Linked DNA regions of Canis lupus familiaris. The protein of the gene in region 2 purifies or fractionates together with the protein of the main gene of each other region. This does not show direct contact. Links are inferred from orthologs where the notes say so. Each region holds a gene or a part of one and is shown on either strand. Other genes may lie near its edges.

Evidence for each region. Proteins that work in one complex are often made in the same cells at the same time.
Region 1: the proteins of POLR2J (region 2) and RPAP2 purify together in Homo sapiens (affinity purification with mass spectrometry; 5 studies listed by BioGRID and IntAct, with this or other methods). This does not show direct contact. The link is inferred for Canis lupus familiaris from reciprocal best matches to the Homo sapiens genes POLR2J and RPAP2.
Region 3: the proteins of POLR2J (region 2) and GTF2B purify together in Homo sapiens (affinity purification with mass spectrometry; 3 studies listed by BioGRID and IntAct, with this or other methods). This does not show direct contact. The link is inferred for Canis lupus familiaris from reciprocal best matches to the Homo sapiens genes POLR2J and GTF2B.

The regions. Positions count from the first base shown.
Region 1 is NC_049227.1:57,137,185-57,142,884, reverse strand, and holds the start of RPAP2 (putative RNA polymerase II subunit B1 CTD phosphatase RPAP2), read left to right. Parts: upstream 1-2,177; 5' UTR 2,178-2,253; coding exon 2,254-2,326; intron 2,327-2,992; coding exon 2,993-3,038; intron 3,039-5,700. Other genes in the region: GLMN (glomulin), read right to left, coding at 642-767, 1,189-1,227.
Region 2 is NC_049227.1:7,620,812-7,626,710, reverse strand, and holds POLR2J (DNA-directed RNA polymerase II subunit RPB11-a), read right to left. Parts: upstream 3,825-5,899; 5' UTR 3,720-3,824; coding exon 3,667-3,719; intron 2,626-3,666; coding exon 2,536-2,625; intron 1,322-2,535; coding exon 1,147-1,321; intron 584-1,146; coding exon 548-583; 3' UTR 368-547; downstream 1-367. Other genes in the region: LRWD1 (leucine-rich repeat and WD repeat-containing protein 1), read left to right, coding at 1-69; RASA4B (ras GTPase-activating protein 4B), read right to left, coding at 5,606-5,894. UniProt on the Homo sapiens protein: Core component of RNA polymerase II (Pol II), a DNA-dependent RNA polymerase which synthesizes mRNA precursors and many functional non-coding RNAs using the four ribonucleoside triphosphates as substrates.
Region 3 is NC_049227.1:60,007,381-60,013,322, reverse strand, and holds the start of GTF2B (transcription initiation factor IIB), read right to left. Parts: upstream 3,524-5,942; 5' UTR 3,382-3,523; coding exon 3,365-3,381; intron 1-3,364. UniProt on the Homo sapiens protein: General transcription factor that plays a role in transcription initiation by RNA polymerase II (Pol II). Involved in the pre-initiation complex (PIC) formation and Pol II recruitment at promoter DNA.

The DNA of each region.
Region 1 (5,700 bases), about 50 Mb from region 2:
TCTTTAAGATTTTATTTATTTATTTGAGAGAGCGAGAATGAGCAGGGGAGAGGCAGAGGGAGAAGCAGACTCTCTGCTGAGCAGGGAGCCTAAAGCAGTGCTCCATCCTAAAACCCAGGATCATCAGCTGAGTGGAAAGCAGATGTTCCCTGTCTACCAGAGGAACTTAACTGATACCAGATACACTTAACTGACTCAGCCAGCCTCCTAAATATTATCTTACTTAATATCTGGTTTTCCATATATATCTGGCTTAAGAAAGAGAAAGTGCGGATTACCAAAAATGAGTATCTAGGTTGCCTGATACTTACAGTACTAAATGTAAATCAATAATAATCCAAATGCCACTTTTGATCCCTAAAGCAGAAATAATCCTTGCTCTTTTAAAGCACTTTACTCAAACTATATCTATTATTTCACTTATTCTGCCCTCTTGCTAGTTGTTTACATGATTATCTCTTCCACCAGACTATAAGCACCTTCAAGTGTATGAATAGCCCTAAGCCCTTTTTTGTTTTCCATGTTCCTACTGTAGAAATTTGATTCTTAAATGTTTGATGAATGAGTGGATAAACAATAGCATCATGTGGCTATTATCTTCCTAGTAAAGACTAAAAAATACTCATAAAGATTGCACTTACCTTATTCTTTTCATTTTGAATAATCTCTAGTAGCTGCTCTATGTGCCCTTCATCTATGCATCTTTGGCCTGCTAATTGAAATAGGCCAAAATCTTCTTCTTTGAAGTCTTGTTCTTCTAGGATTTGCTGACAAAAACAAAATGAAGACAAAACGTTTGGTGAATAAAAAATTCAATAACTACTTGATTTATTCTCTCTGGAAATAAAAAGGAAATGTGTTTGAATTCTGAGTAAGTTGCACATTAGCATATGTGTGAAAATTAGGATAAGCCTGAAAAAGTAGTTTAATGATCTTGAAATCCACACTGCCAAAAAAAATTCTACAATAAAGATCAATATTAAAAATTTTAAAGGTTAAAAAAAAAAAATGTTAAAGGTTAGACAAGTAGGTCACTTGGAGAGATAATCCAATCTGCCTTCTGGCCCTCCTGCTATTTATTCACCGGTCAAACAAAGCAAGGATTAGAGAAGATAAGCAATTTGAGTGACCCTAAGTATAACTAGAAATAATCTTGCATTTAACTTTACAAGAAGAAAAATTACTTACACATCTCATTATTATGGACTGAAGTTCTTCCACAGCCATTCCTCGTTATTTTTCCTAGTTTTTATGCTGAAATATAAAACAGTTAACTATCAGTGATATTACAGTATTAATGAGTTATGTTTCATTCTGATGAATTATCAGTAAATACAATAAGGAAAATACGACATTTTAAAGCTGAAATATTTTGACTTAAAAGTATTTTAGCCTAAGGAGTAAAAAACTGTTGCATCTTTTAGGTTTTCTAGAATAGTTTTGAAAGATCTACCTGAAAAAAAAAAAAAAAATCCTCCTGGGTACGCCCAAACAGGAGCGCAAATATCGGCTACGTAAATGGCTTTAAAAAGGCTAAGTATTTCTTTTCTGAAAAAATTTCCCAAAAGTGTTCCTGAAATCAGTTCTAGTCATTAGGGAATCTTAAAAAATGCTTCAATGTCCCACTTGACAAACACTGGCGCCTACACAACTCACCCCAGAGCGGGTGAAAGTTCCGATGCCCACAGTCCCAAGTGCGACCCGGACGTTCTTCTGTAAGCGATGCGGTCCCCCAGTCACCCAGCTGGTGTAACCGCCAGGCCGCACGGACGCGACGCAACCGGCAGCTCCCGGGGGAACACGGCTCGGCTCCCGCAGGCGCCGTGGGCCCAGCGGCAAGACCCTGCCCCAGGCCCGCAGCGGGAGCTGGGTCAGCCGGGTCCCCGCGGCCGCGCGCTCCAGAGCGGATAAAAGCCCAGCGCGCGTGCGGACTGCATCCAAAGGAAGCCATTTCTCCCGATTCCTGCGGGCCTAGGCGTTCGGGCCCACGACCTCGTGGGGCCTTGCGGGCCGCGGCGCCGGCTCCCCCGCGGCTCGCAGCTGGCCCCGAGCCCCGGCCACCCCCGCCGCCCGGGCGCGTCCACTTACCGCCGGGCCTCTCGCCGCTCTCGGCGGCTTCCCCCACCTCCTCCGGCCGCGCAGGCCTCTCCGGGCCCCGCCCCTCCCCGGCCGGCCCCGCCCCGCGCTAGCGACGGGGGGCGGAGCCTCGGGGGGAGACGCCGGGTCCCGGGCTGACCTTCTGACGCGTTTCCCATGGCTGACTCCGCCGGGCCGCGCTCGCCCGGCCTCAAGGCTCGGACGCCCCGCGCTTCCCGAAACGCCTCAGGTAAGAAGGGCCCTGAGAACCGAGCCCCTCGAGTGTTCCACACGGAGGCGCGCGGGACACACCCGGAAGACTGCTCCGGGGCAGAGAAGGCCCAGAGCGGCCCATCCCCGGCCTCGGGTCTTCTGGGAAAGACCTCCACACCCTCACCTCTTCACACCGGTGTTCCAAGATTTGCCCCAGAACCGGTCTCTGAGGGAAAGGGAGTAGAGGAGCTGGAGTCTAGAGCTGGCTCGCCAGAAAGGGCAAGCGACCGGGGCAGCCCAGCTTGGACATGCACTCCTGCTTTAGCTCCGGGTCCTCTGAGGCGTCACCCCACCCCTGCTCTTTCCCTGTGAGCGAACATTCGGGGGAACATTTCGAGTTGCCTACACCTCAGATTTGCAGGAGCCCCCGTGACCATGCAGCTGTTTTACATGAGAAAATTCAATCCCCGAGGAGATACATTTTAACCAAGAAGAATTCGGGAATAATTAGCAAACTGAATTCCGCTTGCCCATTTCATTTGTTTTGCAAACGGGATTGGAAAGTAACGTGTGGGGAAGAAAGAAGAGAGGTTGTCTGCAGTTTCAGTAGGAATCTGTCCTGTAAACTAGTGTGTTTCCGAAGACTTGAACTCCACAATAATTTTATTATTATAAATATAAAATATTTTTATTATTATTGTAGGTGCTAAACAGACGAATGCTTTAAAACAAGAAGATGCTTCTAAAAGGTAGGAGAACTACTTGGACAACTGCATTAGCTTATCTATTTATCTCATGTTAATTTAACCATTTTTATAAACAAGAATGGGAGATACTTAAAAAAAAATTATGCGAAACAAAGAGAGGATCAGAAAAGCACTATAATTTCTCATATATAGACTCATTATATCTCTCTACTCCAGGCTTTAAGAAAACCAAATCAAGACACTTTTAGATTGCTGGTGAAGGTATGAGTATCTGTAGAAAGATGTCTAAGGGAATAAACATTCTTCAGTTAAGCAGGTACTCCTTTTCCACCTCTTCAGGTACACTTGCCTTTTATTACTTTATATACCAGAGACTCCAAGAAACCTTTACTGTTCTTCGTTTACATTATGTCCATATTTTCAGCAAAAAAAGTCCTATTCTGTTGCTTGGCATCTCCTAAACAGACTAGATTTACCTCCTGTCACAAAGTTTCTAGAATAGGAGTAGTTTATGAGAATGATTTAAATACATAGGTCAATATTTTATTCTTAAAAATAAAAAAAAAAGATTTATTGGGATACCTGGGTGGCTCAGCAGTTGAGCATCTGCCTGTGGTTCAGGGCATGATCCTGGAATCCAGGATCAAGTCCCATATCAGGCTCCCTGCATGGAGCCTGCTTCTCCCTCTGCCTGTGTCTCTGCCCCCCCCCCCCCCCACCGCCCGGGGTGTGTGTGTGTGTGTGTGTGTGTGTGTGTGTGTGTGTGTATGTATGTCTCTCTCATGAATAAATAAAATAAAATCTTAAAAATATGTTTATTCATTTTAGAGAGTGAGCAAGTACATGTGTGGGATGCAGGTGAAGAGGGAGTAGAAGAAGAGGGAAAAGAGAGACTCTAAAGCAGACTCCCCACTGAGTGTGGAGCCTGACTCAGGGCTTGATCTCACAATCCTGAGATCATGATCTAAGCTGAAACCAAGAGTCAGATGCTTAACCACCTGAGCCGCCTAGGGGTTTCAGTGATTTATCCTTTTATATCAGGCAGGTAGTGGCTGTCATTTACTCATTCTTTCAAAAATTATTTACCAAATAGGAGATATGCCAGGCCTGTGTTAAGCCCTGAGGATATGGTTTTGAGCAGAATAGACACAGTTCTTTTCTACTGGAACGGAGAAATACGGATTAAATTGTCACAACTGAATACATAATTATATATTGTGATAAGTGCTATAAAGGAAAAGACTATGAAGTTATCAGATGGAACTAATAGGTGTTCAGATTAGCTGGGGATTCTCGGGGAAAGACTTTGGAGCCCTGAAGGCTAAATAGGCATTAACCAGAGTCCTGAGGAGAGTCCAGCCAGAGATGGCAGTATATATGAAGGCCCTGAGAAGAAAAAGGTCAGTTCAAGGAAAGGAAAGATAACCGTGGTAGTGTATGGCATTTTGAGCAAGGGAAGAAAGGAGCATAGGAAAAACTTAGGATTCCATTCTTAAAGAATCTGGTGGGCCGTGGTGAGAAATTTAGATTTTCTAAATGCAAATATGAAAACATCAAGTAATAGAGTGATGAAATTTAAGTTTAAAAAGTTTTAAGAGGAGTGCCTGGATGGCTCAGTGCTTGAGCATCGCCTTTGGCTTGGGGCGTGATCCCCAGGTTCTGGGAGAGTCCTGCATGGGGCTCCCATGAGGGAGCCTGCTTTTCCCTCTATGTCTCTGCCTCTCTCTGTGTGTCTCTCATGAATAAAAATCTTTAAAAAATTAAAAATAAAAAAATAAAAGTTTTAAGATGTTAGCGATGGTGATCATCTGGGAATAGAGAAATTGGATGGATTTGAGATCAATATTTTTTTAAAGATTTATTTATTTACTTGAGAGAGAGCATGCGAGAAGAAATTTAAAAAATTAACGGGTGGGAGGTACAGAGGGAGAGGGAAAGAGGGCTTTCTGCTGAGCAAGGAACATAGTACGGGGCTCACTACCATGATCCTGAGTGGAAACCAAGAGTTGGACACTTAACCAACTATGCAACCTGAGTGCCCCTTGCGATCTATTTTAGAGAATATTTCCCTGTGGAGTAGCATGACTTGGTTTTATGATACACTGCAAGAGTAAAGTTAATACTGATAATGATGGTAATTTGCAACTTTCTTCAATAGTGTGATCTGACCACAAACCCAAGAAGATTATATTTTATTGTGAGCATCATAGTGTGAGAAGTATAGATACACTGAAATGTATTGGGGGCAAATTACCCAGGATGATGAAGCAATTAAAAATCCATGGGGTGGGATCCCTGGGTGGCGCAGCGGTTTGGCGCCTGCCTTTGGCCCAGGGCGCGATCCTGGAGACCCGGGATCGAATCCCATATCAGGCTCCCGATGCATGGAGCCTGCTTCTCCCTCTGCCTGTGTCTCTGTGCCTCTCTCTCTCTCTCTGTGACTATCATAAGTAAATAAATAAAAATTAAAAAAAAAAAATCCATGGGGTAACTAACCAAATAGTTGTTGAAGGGAATGAACCTTTATAAATCTATGCCCACTGAAAAATACTTCAACATCAATCCAATCAAATACTATTAAGCCAGGAATTAAAGAGCTTTACAAAAATGTAAAATAGTTCTTCTCTTTTCACAAAATACGTAATAGGTTCATTACTACTTTTGTTACATGAATTAATAAGTGCTCTACATTTTTCTCATTTTT
Region 2 (5,899 bases):
AACCCCACCTTTACCTACCTCACCGCCCTGACGGACTCCAATATCGTGGCCATCTGGAAGAGACAGTAGCCAGAGTGGGGTTCCTGCCTCTGCGGCAGAGCACCAGGGACATGACTTAACTTATTCAGCTTTGGGGCTAAGGACGAGAATCTTTTCATCAGTGAATATATTTTATTAATAAACTCTCTGCTGTCTGAGGGAAGGCTGGAGAGCTGTTTGTGGCTCCCCTGGTGTTCCTACCTTGAGCTCTGAACAGACTCCTAAAGCATGCCTCTCAGGCCACCCCTGCCCTCCCAGGCTCCAGGTTGTCGGTCTAGGAGTCGGGGGCCCAGGGCCTGTCCGCTGTGAAACTGAGCAGGTCCACTGCTTCCCATAGCCAGGTCTTTATTAGGAAGGTAAAACACTCCGTGTACAGGACACACCAACTCTGGGGGGAGGAGCTCAACAAGATGTCCCTGAAGCCAGGGAAGCTGCTCGCCTCTACTGGAAGCCCGGAGAAGGTTCCAGTGCAGGGTAGGAACCAGCCAAACAAGACTCCTCCAGCCCACTATTCGATGCCTTCTTGCTTGTCTTTAATAGCCACCTGAGCGGAGAGGGAGGGGGCAGCTGCTTAGTGGGAAAGCAGCCCCAGTGACCCGAGGTCTGCCCGGGCCCTGCTGTCCTGTCAGCAACCCCAGGGCCTTCTGAGCACACCCCACCCATCTGCCTGAGAAGCTGTGGATCTTTCCCACTTGACACCCAAGTCAGACTTTAAGGCCCTCTGCGTGGACAGGTGGGACCATCCCCTTTCGGCCTCAACTGTGGGACCCCACCCTGCCTGGGATGAGCTGCCCCATGTACAGATAGATACCTGGAAGCAGCCAGGCCTTAACCAGAGAAGGCTTGGGGGAGCAGTCCCAAGGAGACCCTGGAGCACTCAGTACAGTTCCCACCCATGCCTGCAGATAGCAGGCCCCCGACCTCAACTCTGTTAAAACCCCTTAGTCCAAGCTCGTTCAAGGCTGTAGTGGCACTGCTGCTCAGTCACCACGTGCCCCCACCCCACAATAAATCCGGAAACTACCCAGGGGTTGTCGGTGTGGGCATCAGAACAGCTCTGGCCATACTGGCTAGCATGCAAACACCCCTCGCCGCCCGGCTCCTCACCCGGAATCGCTCTTCCAGCAGGGACAGCTCGCTGATGAGGTCTGTGATGGCGTTGGTGAAGGCCTCCTGGGGGCTGTAGTCTGGTGTGGTCTGCACTCGAATGATGATCTTGTGCTCCAGGGGGTGGGGGACTTTGTAGCCAGCAAACAGCACCTGGGGGTCCTTCAGCAGCTGTCTGAGATCAGGAAATGGGCAGTGTGACATGGGGGCTGGGCCTAGCACCTGGGACCACCAGGCCTCTAACCAAGGAGCCTTCCCACTGGCTTGAGGCCTAGAAGCGAGGGGGGTGGGGCAGGGAGGAGATGGCTGACTCCAGCTGCTTTCCTGCTCTTGATTTCCCAAAGATATCTCCAAGTAAAACATCTGGAACATCTGCCTCATGAGGACACCTCCCTCCTCCCCCCACCCCTACATCCATGAGGATCCAGGACCCCAGCTGGTAAAGAGGATTTCCAGCAAACTTCCCTCAGGGGAAGTCGGGGGCCTGCAACAGCACCAAAGAGCCCTCCCCAGGCAGCCAGTGCTCAGTAACCAGAACACAATGTGCTGGTTCTGGCCCAGTAAGAGCGTCTGGCACAGCAGGAAAGGCTCAGGCTCTGAGTGCTTAGTGAAACGGAAGCCCTTTGGTCAACGCTGCTGCCCACACACCTGGGACCCGTTGTGCCTGGCTGTGAGGTGAAGTGTGCATGCCATGCTCTGCCCTGGGCCCGCGGGGGATTCTCTGGAGCAGCTCAGTCAGCAGCAGGCACCAAGAGGGAAGGCTCTTGCACAGGTGGGGACATGCCTCCCAGAGTAGGGGAGCAGAAGGGCCTGGGAGCAGCACCGGCATGGCTCAGGGTGGGGCCAGCCAGACTGGAGAGAGCCAGCCCCACCTCCTACTTTCAGCCCAGAGGTGAGGTGGGCTCCTGCCCAGTGGTCTCAAACACATGACCCTCGGAAAGACCTAGATTCACCCATGGTGCTTTTCTGACAAAAGCCCTTGAGCCCAAACAGCAACCACATCACTGACCACTTACCTGGCCAGGACCTCGCTAATGTACTTACACACCTGCTAACCAACATGAGCATCGGATAATCACAGAGCCTCTCCCCCACCTTCTCCCCTCATTCTAATAAGTTCCAATCTCTGGCAAGTCGGCCTAGGTTTCTCTGGCTTTGCCACACGTTCACTTCCTTTCATCGGATAAATGAACCAGTACAGAAATACAGCTGTGGGAACAGATCCAGGGCAGCAGCATTTTGGGGAAAACGTACTGAAACGTGTGAATTGCCAGAACAAGCACCCAGACCTTCCGGCAGCTCAGAGAGACTTCGGGAAATCTGGGACGTGTGCTTTGCCTCAAAGAGCCCCATTAAACGTTGCCTGAGAGCCTCTGACTCGGAACTTACGATTTGATGATGTTTCCTAGTGTGTGGTCTTCTTTGTTGATGGTAAACAAACAGGCATTGGGTACCTTGGTGTCCTTGTTAATGGTAATCCTAGGAAGAGGTGGTAGCAACAGATGGGAAACGGGGCTCTCCTCCTCCCCCCAGGATAAATCCTGCCCTTTAACTCAGGCTTAAGCCCCACTTCCACCTCGAAGCCTTCCTCCATCTCTTCATCCATAAAGACCTCTGACTCAGAGCAGCAGAGTGGCTATGCCCCGATTCTGCGGGACCCTCACCTACTCTGGATTGCTCCTTGGCACCAGTGACATCTTAGGGTGGATCATTCTTTCCCGCAGGGGGTGGTCTTGTACATTGCAGGATATGAGCAGTATCCCTGGTCTCTATTCACTAGCTGCCAGCAGCAGCCCCTATGTGACGAAAGTGTCTGCAGACGTTGCCAAAAGTCCCCTGGGGAGCAAAATAGCCCCTAGTTGCCAACCACTGCTCCCAAGGGAGACGAAGTGGCTGGCAAGGGCTAGACATAGAGCCCCGCACACCAGGCTGTTAAGAGAAGGAAAAGCCGACGTTTAAGACAGTCTTTTGTGTGCTGAGCCTTGGCCTAAGCACTTCCCGTAAATCATCTCAAGCTCCCCTTTGAGAAAATCCTGTGATTTAACAGAGCAAGAAGCCCATTTTCCAGATGAGGAAAGCAGGCCTCAGGCAGGCTAAGCCACCTGCCCAAAGACACGGAGACGTTAAGTGGGGGAGCCAGGAGCCAAGCCCAGGCTGAGAGACAGCAAGACTACACCGCCTGCACCCCGCGGGCAAGAAGCCGCTGGAGGTTCTCCGGAGGCCAGCGAAGGCGGGACGAGAGCCTGAGAGCCGGACCCCGCTGCAGCCGCAGGAGGCGGCGGCCAGGCACGCGAGCGAGGGGGCTGCCGGATCCCGGGGGGAAGCACTCTGGCGCCACGCACACCGCCACTCCCCGAGGGCCGGGGCAGCTCCTTGGCTCTCTGAGCTTCAGTTTCCGCATCTGCGGAAGGGGGTCGGTCGCCACCGCCCGGCAGGGCTGGCTCGAATCTGGCGGACACAGAGGCTTCCGTCTCCCGCTACTGGACGGACCCCAGGCTCGCCCCCGCCAGCTCCACTTACTTCTTTTCGCCCTCGAAGAGCAAGAACGACTCAAAGGCGGGAGGGGCGTTCATCCTAGCGCCGCACTCGCAGCCGAAGCCGCAGGGCCGCCCCCGACGCCTGCAGGACCCTCTACGACGCCACCTCTTCCGGGTTAGCGGCTGCTTCCGGGTTACGGCCCCCGTGGGGAGGCCGGCCGCTCGCCCCCTGGAGGCCCGGGGGATGTAGCGCAGGCGAGAGGAGCCCGGGAGGACCGAGGCGCTGGTGGCTCTGCGCATGCGTGAGGCGTTGGCGGGGGCGTTGGCGGCCCCGGGGGCCGCCCCCCCCCTCAAGATCCTTCTTTGCAAATGCGCTTGGAGGGCCCAGCGCGAGGCCCTCGAGTGGAGAATGGAGCCAGGGCGCAGTGCGGGCCGGCAGGAGGCGTCAGGTCCTAGGACCAGAAGGCCGCCGGCCGCGACCCCCACCTTCCCCCGCGTGGTCGCCCCTTTGCGGAGCGGGCTTGGGGCCGATGAGCTGCTTGCCAGGCAGACGGCCCGGCGGCGGAGGCGGTTGGCGGCCGAGAGGAGTGCGTTGGCACTGCTGGTTGCTATTTTGCCGACCGCAGTTGTGTGGACGGACCCCACCTGCGCTGTTTGAGGCAAGGAGCTGGGTCTCCCGTCGGCTCCAGTAGCCGCAGCATCTGAGGAGCCGCCGGGGACCTGCCCGGGAAACCAGGAGCCTCCATTTCCTGGGAAGGGCTATTCCTTGCTTAAGCTTGGGCCCTGGGGTGAGGAGGTGCCATTGGCCAGAGGCCCACACCAGCCTGGACTCCACGGGGGGGGCTTTAACTGGTGAGGAACAGAAGGCATGAGGGGATGATGCACAGGGGCGTAGCCGCGACCCTTCTGGGCCATCCGGGCAAAGCTAGGATGCCACTTGGCTGGCTGGGGGTGGAGAGAAGGGGTATAGTTTTTACCCCAAAGGGGCCTCACTCCCGCCTGACAGAACCTAGAGGTGTGGGGGTACATGAGCCGTGGGGACAGTGCCAGGCCCTGCTTCACTGTCACCCCTACAGGCTGCAGCAGCCACCCCATCCAGGACCCTCCTGGAAGAGAGGGTGGGCGGTGACACCACTGGGGGGCTATGTATGCAGTTCAAACCCAGGCTTCTACCTGTGGCAGCCCCATAAGTAGTGCACACTACTTTCCCCTTCACTCTCATTAGGGTGCAGTGGACCCTGGGCTCTGTACTTCCGGACCACAAGGTCCTGGAAACCCACCGAGATTCAAAAAGCATGAGGATTTGTGTGAGGTCCTAAGGAAGGAGCCAGAGAACAGGGTGTTGGTGATGGCGGAGGGGGGGTGCAGGCTCAGCCACCTGGGGGCAGGAAGGAAAGGTGAGGCACTGTTCAGGCTCTGTAGCCTGGGGGGGGATGGAGCAGGGGTCCCAGGAGTATGGTGGGAACAGCAGTTGGGGGAAGAAACAAGTCCTCCCAGGATGTGTGGGGGGGTGAACAGAGGGGATGCACGAAGGTTATTCTGGTGGCTCCGGTCCTTGGCCACACTCAAGAAGCCACTGGAATCCACACCAAGCCCAGTCCCTCTACTGACCCCCATCACAAGACCCCAGAGCCCAAGCAGTCACAGCAGGTTTATTGTCAGCAACAGCACCGCAAAGCTCTCCCGGGGGGGCCCAGCCAGTGGCTGGAGGGGAGCAGGTGATGTGATGGCCAGGAGCTGAGGGGATGCTGAGGTCAAGGCTTGGTCTCCTGGGTGGGCCCCATGTTCCCTCCCACCTCTGTGAGTCCAAGGAGTATCAGTCCACCTGGTCAAGGGCCATCTTAGGGTTGGTTTCTGGCTAGGTCTGCCGGGGTAGGAGAGGGCCCCTGGAGAGAGTGGGGTGGTGCCAGCGATGGCTGCAAGGGCTGCGAGGAACAGCCAGGCTTCATAGAGGAGAAGGAGCTCACAAAGTCCCCTAGAGACTACAGGTGGGCAAGGACGGGCCTCTGGCCCCCAATCCACCCAGCCCAGGAGAGCCCTAAGCCCCGCTCCCCAGTGAGACGGAGTGATGTGAAGAGCTGAAAGCGCACCAGGGGGGGGGTCTCCGAGCACCTGGCAGGGGGTTCAGTGAGGGCATGTGGGGCAGGCCTCACGTCTGCAGCTCCAGCAGGCGGTTTGTCTCCGAGGGCGGTACGCTGGCTGGGCTGGATCTGTGGGCCTCCCGGAGGTCCTGCAGCACCTGGAACAGCTGGGCCAGTGGATCCTTGGGGGCTGGA
Region 3 (5,942 bases), about 52 Mb from region 2:
TGTATAAATTCAAGTTAACCAGAACATGTCTTGGATCTGTTCATTGGGAAATGGGGGAATAGAAGTTTGTTTTATAAATTCATATTAGGAAAATATTTTAAAAATTATGACATAAATTAAGAGGTTAGTATGACTTATGAAAAACTATGTTGAAATAAAGGAAAATCTTAACAGAGTAACAATAATTACAAATAGGCAGCCATACGGCACAAAGCATACAAAGATAAGGCCATATATTTTGCACTATTAAAAAGTAGAATTATCTTGTATGTATGCATATAAATGATATATAAATATCTCAAAGATATGCTAAGTGAAAAAAGTTAGAGATTTTTTTTCTTAAAGATTTTATTTGAGAGAGAGAGGGACAATCTGAAGCTAACCCTGCACTGAGCACAGAGTCTGATGTAGGGCTCAATCACACAACCAGGAGACCAAGACCTAAGCTGAAACCGTGAGTTGGACGCTTACCCGACTGAGCCACCTAGGCACCCATAGGGATTTTATACAAAACTAGAAAAAGTATGATAACAGTTATATGCAGTAACAAAGATGATTCTCAAAAATACTGATCAAAAGAAAGTAGGCAGAGGAAAACAAACCACTTATATAAACCTTAAAGTGGGCAAAATAAATCTATGGTATTAGAAGTTGGGATATGGTTATGTTTGGAAAGGGGGTAATGGCTGAGGGCACAAGGAGGCTTCCAGGGTGCCAGTGGCAATTAATTTCTTGACTGGGGTGGTAGCTATGTCTATGCGCTCATTTTTAACTGAACTGTGCACCTAAAATGTGTGCTAACTTCACAAAAATGGTAAAAAGGTAGCAAACTGTTTACAATGGACTTTGGGGGAACAAGAGAGATTGGCACTGTTAAACAAGTTTGTTAAACTATTAGGAAAACACCAAGAAACTGGTTATGATGGCTGCTTTCAGGGGAGAATTAGATGGCTGAGAGCTAGGCAAGAAACTTCTTTTCACTTTTGTTTTTGTACTACTGTGTGTTACGTATCCAAAATAAAATGAATCATGAGGGGCAGCCCTGGTGGTGCAGTGGTTTAGCACCGCCTGCGGCCCAGGGTGTGATCCTGGAGACCTGGGTCGAGTCCCATGTCGGGCTCCCTGCGTAGAGCCTGCTTCTCCCTCTGCCTGTGTCTCTGCCTCTCTCTTCTCTCTCTGTGTATCTCATGAATAAATAAATAAAATATTAAAAAATAAAAAAAATAAAAAAATAAAAAAAATAAAATGAATCATGATACAGCAGTCAACTTTAATTAGAATATCCACAAGAGTAATCAAAAAGGAGCCACAAGAGTAGGGCAGTGGGGGAAGGGAGAGAGAGAAATGAAAGAGAAAGAATGGAGTAAACAACCACCCAAGACATTAAAACAATTCAGAGTACCTAAGGAGCCAGATAAACCCAAATCTCACTTTATAACGATCACTTATTGGGTCCCCACTGTGTGCCTAGTGCTACACTTATTATTCATTTTCATAGCAACCCTGCAAAATAAAGGTTATTTCCCTTCTAAAGATTAAGCTTACAAAACGATTAGCCTGAAATTACAGAAAAATGGTGGAGTTTAGACTTGAACTCACAACATTTGTGTTTTTCTCTGTGAAAACACCAGGCAGTTTCATAATCTAGTAACTATTCTCCCTCAAGGGGGGAAAAAAAAAAACAAACTAAAAGGCAGAAATACTAACATTTTACCTTTGTTCTCACCCGTAGAAAATTTAGAGATGGACAACTCAATGACACATAGATTTAAGACCTGGACGTGTCCAGAAACAATTTATTTCAAAAATTATTTTTTAACAAATGAAGAAAATAGAGACACACAATGGTAAGTGTATTCTTTTGATAAAGAATCTAGCACATGAACTTAACTACAGTTAACTGTTGCAAATTTTTCTTACAAAATTCCTGTCCTATCCTATGGAAAAGCTGTGCCCAAGTGTGACCACATTTACTTTTCAGATCTACTGCCCTAAGACGTGGTAGTTAGGTGTCTTCAGGAAGCTCAAGTTTTCCACTTACCTACAAGAAAAGCCTTTCCCAACAGAGCCACACCCAGACCGAATGATTGAGTATTCAATCACAGAAGTACAATCAGTAAACAAGAGTGTCCCTGGCTTTGAGTGGTTTCCAAGTTGTTTTAGCTAACACTGCCTCCCCCAACACCGTTTTTTTTTCCCCCCTTAAAAAGTACAGTAACATAAAGCAGTAAGTCTTAGCAGTACCACAAAAGGGCCCGGACTTCTCCAGTTTGCTGTTTTGTGATACTGGCTTTTACTGGGAACTCAATTCTCACAGAGGATAACAAATTCAAAAAAATTATGCCAGTTACCTCCCCAGAAGCTATAGAACTTGACACTTTCAATACATTATGAGCTAACTAGAGGCCAGCTGCGTGGTAACAGGAAACTGATAAGGGATTCTACACTCTGTTCTGACACTGACCTTGGAAAAGTCAACACCGGCATGACTCAGTTTACACTTATGCAAAAATACTAATATCTACCTCGTAGTGGTAATGAGAGACTTAATTAGGGTCTACAAACATTTTTTTCGGACCACAGGATTAAAGGCTGTCTTTAAGGGCACTGCACTTATTTCCTGTAGATAGGAGTATATCACATTAAAAAAAAAAATATCTTAGTGTTAAAAAAAAAAAAAAAAAAAAGACTTAGTAACTTCCCAGCGTATGTAAGCAATTGTCTGCAGGCAAGATTTTCTTCAGGAGAATGCAGAAGACCTCTGTAAAAATATAAACCTCTTAGAAGGGAACTTCTCAACTCTTCGGAAACGCCCCCAGCTTCCATTTCGGAAGGCCTCTGGGACGGTAATCAGTTCCCCTCGGGCTGACGTCCCTAACTCTACAGCTGTCAGATCGACAGGGGCCTGGAACTAACCCTTTCCCGCTTTTTGGAAAGGATCGTGGGCTGGTTGAGCCACAGCTGGAAAAACAAGCGTAGAAAAAAATTAACACACACAAAAAAAACAAAAACAAAAACACCACAGTTAAGATATCCACCCCCCCCCACCCACCCCCAAAAAAAGACGCGAAACGAGGGGGGGCTGGGGACACAGCGGCCCTCACAGGGTGGCGGCCGGATGAGCTCACGAGCCAGGACGTCGGGTGGTACCGCCGCTGTGGGAGCGCCGCGGTCGGCAGCCCCTGAGCCGCCCCTGACAGCCCTGCCGTCTGGAAGCGCCTTTGTCCGGCTCGGCCAGCCAGTCCACCGCCTCCCCCCGCACCTCCGGAACGCTCTGCCCGACACGGCCCCCCGGGGCCCGCCTGCCCACTCTGGCACTCTCCGCCCGCCCCTCAGCGAGCGCGGCTCGGCCGGACGTACTAACCGGCTGGTAGACGCCATCTTCACGGCCCCCGCGGCCTCAGCGACGAGCCGACCGACGCGCCAAGAACAGGAAGCGACTGTGGCGACGGGACGCTCCGAGCCCGGCTTTTATAGAGCGAGCCTCCCACGTGGTCATAATAGGGCGCGGCTACGGGTCGGGAGAGGGGCCAACAAAAGTGAGCTTCTGGGTGCCACGTGCTTCGCGTTTTTTTTTTCAATCTTCCTATTGCGTTGCCTTGACTTGCTGTGCTGCGGCGCGAGCCAGCTCGACGACCTGGGGGGGTTCTCGCGGTGACTCTAGGGCGGGCCGAGTTCAAACACGGAGACAGCCCGGGCCCGGCGGGGGCTGCAAAGCCCGCACCCCCGAAGGCGCACCCTCCACCGCCCCGCTCCCTCCCCGCCGGGGGTTCGAGCGCAGTCCTTACTCGTGCTTAGGGGCGATTCCACTTAAGGAATTAGGAGTCAAGAGGGAGATTCACCTAAGTCCGCCTGAACAGGTGTCAATGTCGGCTCTGCCGTCGGCTGCCGAGCTGTTTCTTCTCCCCTTTGGGTGCAAGCGGGGCCCCCCTCTGCTCCGCAGGCGCTTTCCGAGTTGGCGGGAGGTGGAGCAGGCCCTCGGGAGGGCGCTCGGCCCTCGCCTCGGAGGCCGGGAGAGGTCGGCGCAGGCCTGATTTTTTTTTTTTTTTTTCGTGGCCTTTGCAAAATCTGGTTGATTAGCCGAAGCACAGAGAGCTCCGTGGAAGGTTCCATGCCCCAGAAGGACCCTCGGTTTATTACTTAGCCAAACTAACATCAGGACAGTGGCAATAAATAACAATAACCTCGCCACCCATCTGCTGAAAATAAACCAACCTTGACCCTGTGGGAATCAGAGGAAAGAGGGTGCTCCAGGTTTCTATGGGGATGAAGACAGAATATAGTGGCTGCTTTGTTCACTTGGGCTTGGGGCTTACATGCCACTGAGCCCTCATTGTATTCTTGAAAGGTGGGAAAGGCTCACTTCCTTAGAACAAGGGTGTGAGAAGCAGAAGTTTAGGAACTGAAATCCAGCTGGAGAGGAGAGAGTAGTTTTTTCTTTTTTCTTTCTTTTTTCTTTTTTTTCTTCTCCCAGTCTTCCAATCTGTAATTCTGTAATTTAAAAACTTGACTACTTGACTGTACTTTGGCTGGTGGGGGGTGGGAGGTGAGGGTCTCTCTTAATACCTGGAAAAGTTTCACAAATAACAGTTCATTTCAGCTGTGCCAAATGCAACCAGAAAAAGGGTTGGGGGTGCCCCCCCCCCCATGCAGGCAGGACGTTTTTTATAGATAGAACACCTTGACTTGGAAGAAGAAGGGGGAGACCAGAAGGAGGACAGCTAGGCCCTTCTGGAAGATCAAGAATAAGGACCTATATCACCTAGTGGGCATGCGGTAATGTTTGCAGAAGAAAGAAATCAGAGAAGTTGAAACCCGGGAGGAAAGAAGCTGGACGGCCTGTTAAATTACTTCTGCCCCACCTGGAGAGTCTCTTATCTGTCATAAGCCAGTTAGGATTTCTTTTTGTTAAAGTAGAAACAATTTAGGTAGGCCATTCTTGTGTTTGTACAACACTGGCAATTTATATAGCCTCTCATCAACATTTATCCCATTTAATCTTTACATCTGATCCTGGGATTAAAATACACAACTACGCACACACACAAGCACATAGAGTTGGGGTCTTATCACCTAGGAATCAATGACCCAGATTAGTGTTTACAAAAAATTCCAGTTTGTTAGTATCGTCATTTCTAGTTAACTTAAATCTGTGAATGAATTAAGTAAAATAACTCGTTCAAATCAACTATTTAAATTAACTCATCTTTTTAACTCAAATACTTATTTTAAAAGTTCGTATTACTACAATGAAGTCAAAATTGATGTGCTAGTACTTCTTTTTTTTTTAATTGATGTGCTATACTTCTTCTAAAGTATAAAATGCTTTACATAGCTAATTATTTTTTACAAGTTGTGATCCATCTAGGTATATTTTTCAAAAATTTATTGAGGTATTACATACTATAGAATTAACCTGTTTAGAAATCAATGACATTTGGTAATTTAAAGGGTCTTTTTTTTTTTAAGATTTTAGTTTTTGTTTTTTTTGTTTTTTTTTTAATTTTTTTTGCTAGGACTTCTGGTACTATGTTGAATAGCAGTGGTGAGAGTGGAAGATTTTAGTTTTAGGTAATTTCTGCACCCAATGTGGAGCTTGAACCTACAATCCTGAGGTCAAGAGTCACATGCTCTACTGACTGAGCCAGCCAGGCTCCCCTTTAGTAATTTTAAGAACTTGTGCCTGTATCTCTAATCCAGTTTTAGCACATTTCCATCATCCCAATAAGAGCACTCATGCCCATGTACAATTCATGCCAGTTGGACTTCCAGCCCCAGGAATCAACCTTCTACTTTCTGTCTCTGTAGATTTATCTTTTCTGGACTTTTTCATGTAAATGGAATCATACAATATGTTGTCTCTTATGTCTGGCTTCTTTTACTTGGCGTTATGTTGTGGAGGTTCATTAAATCTCTCTTGTGGCCTCACTATTGGAAACATT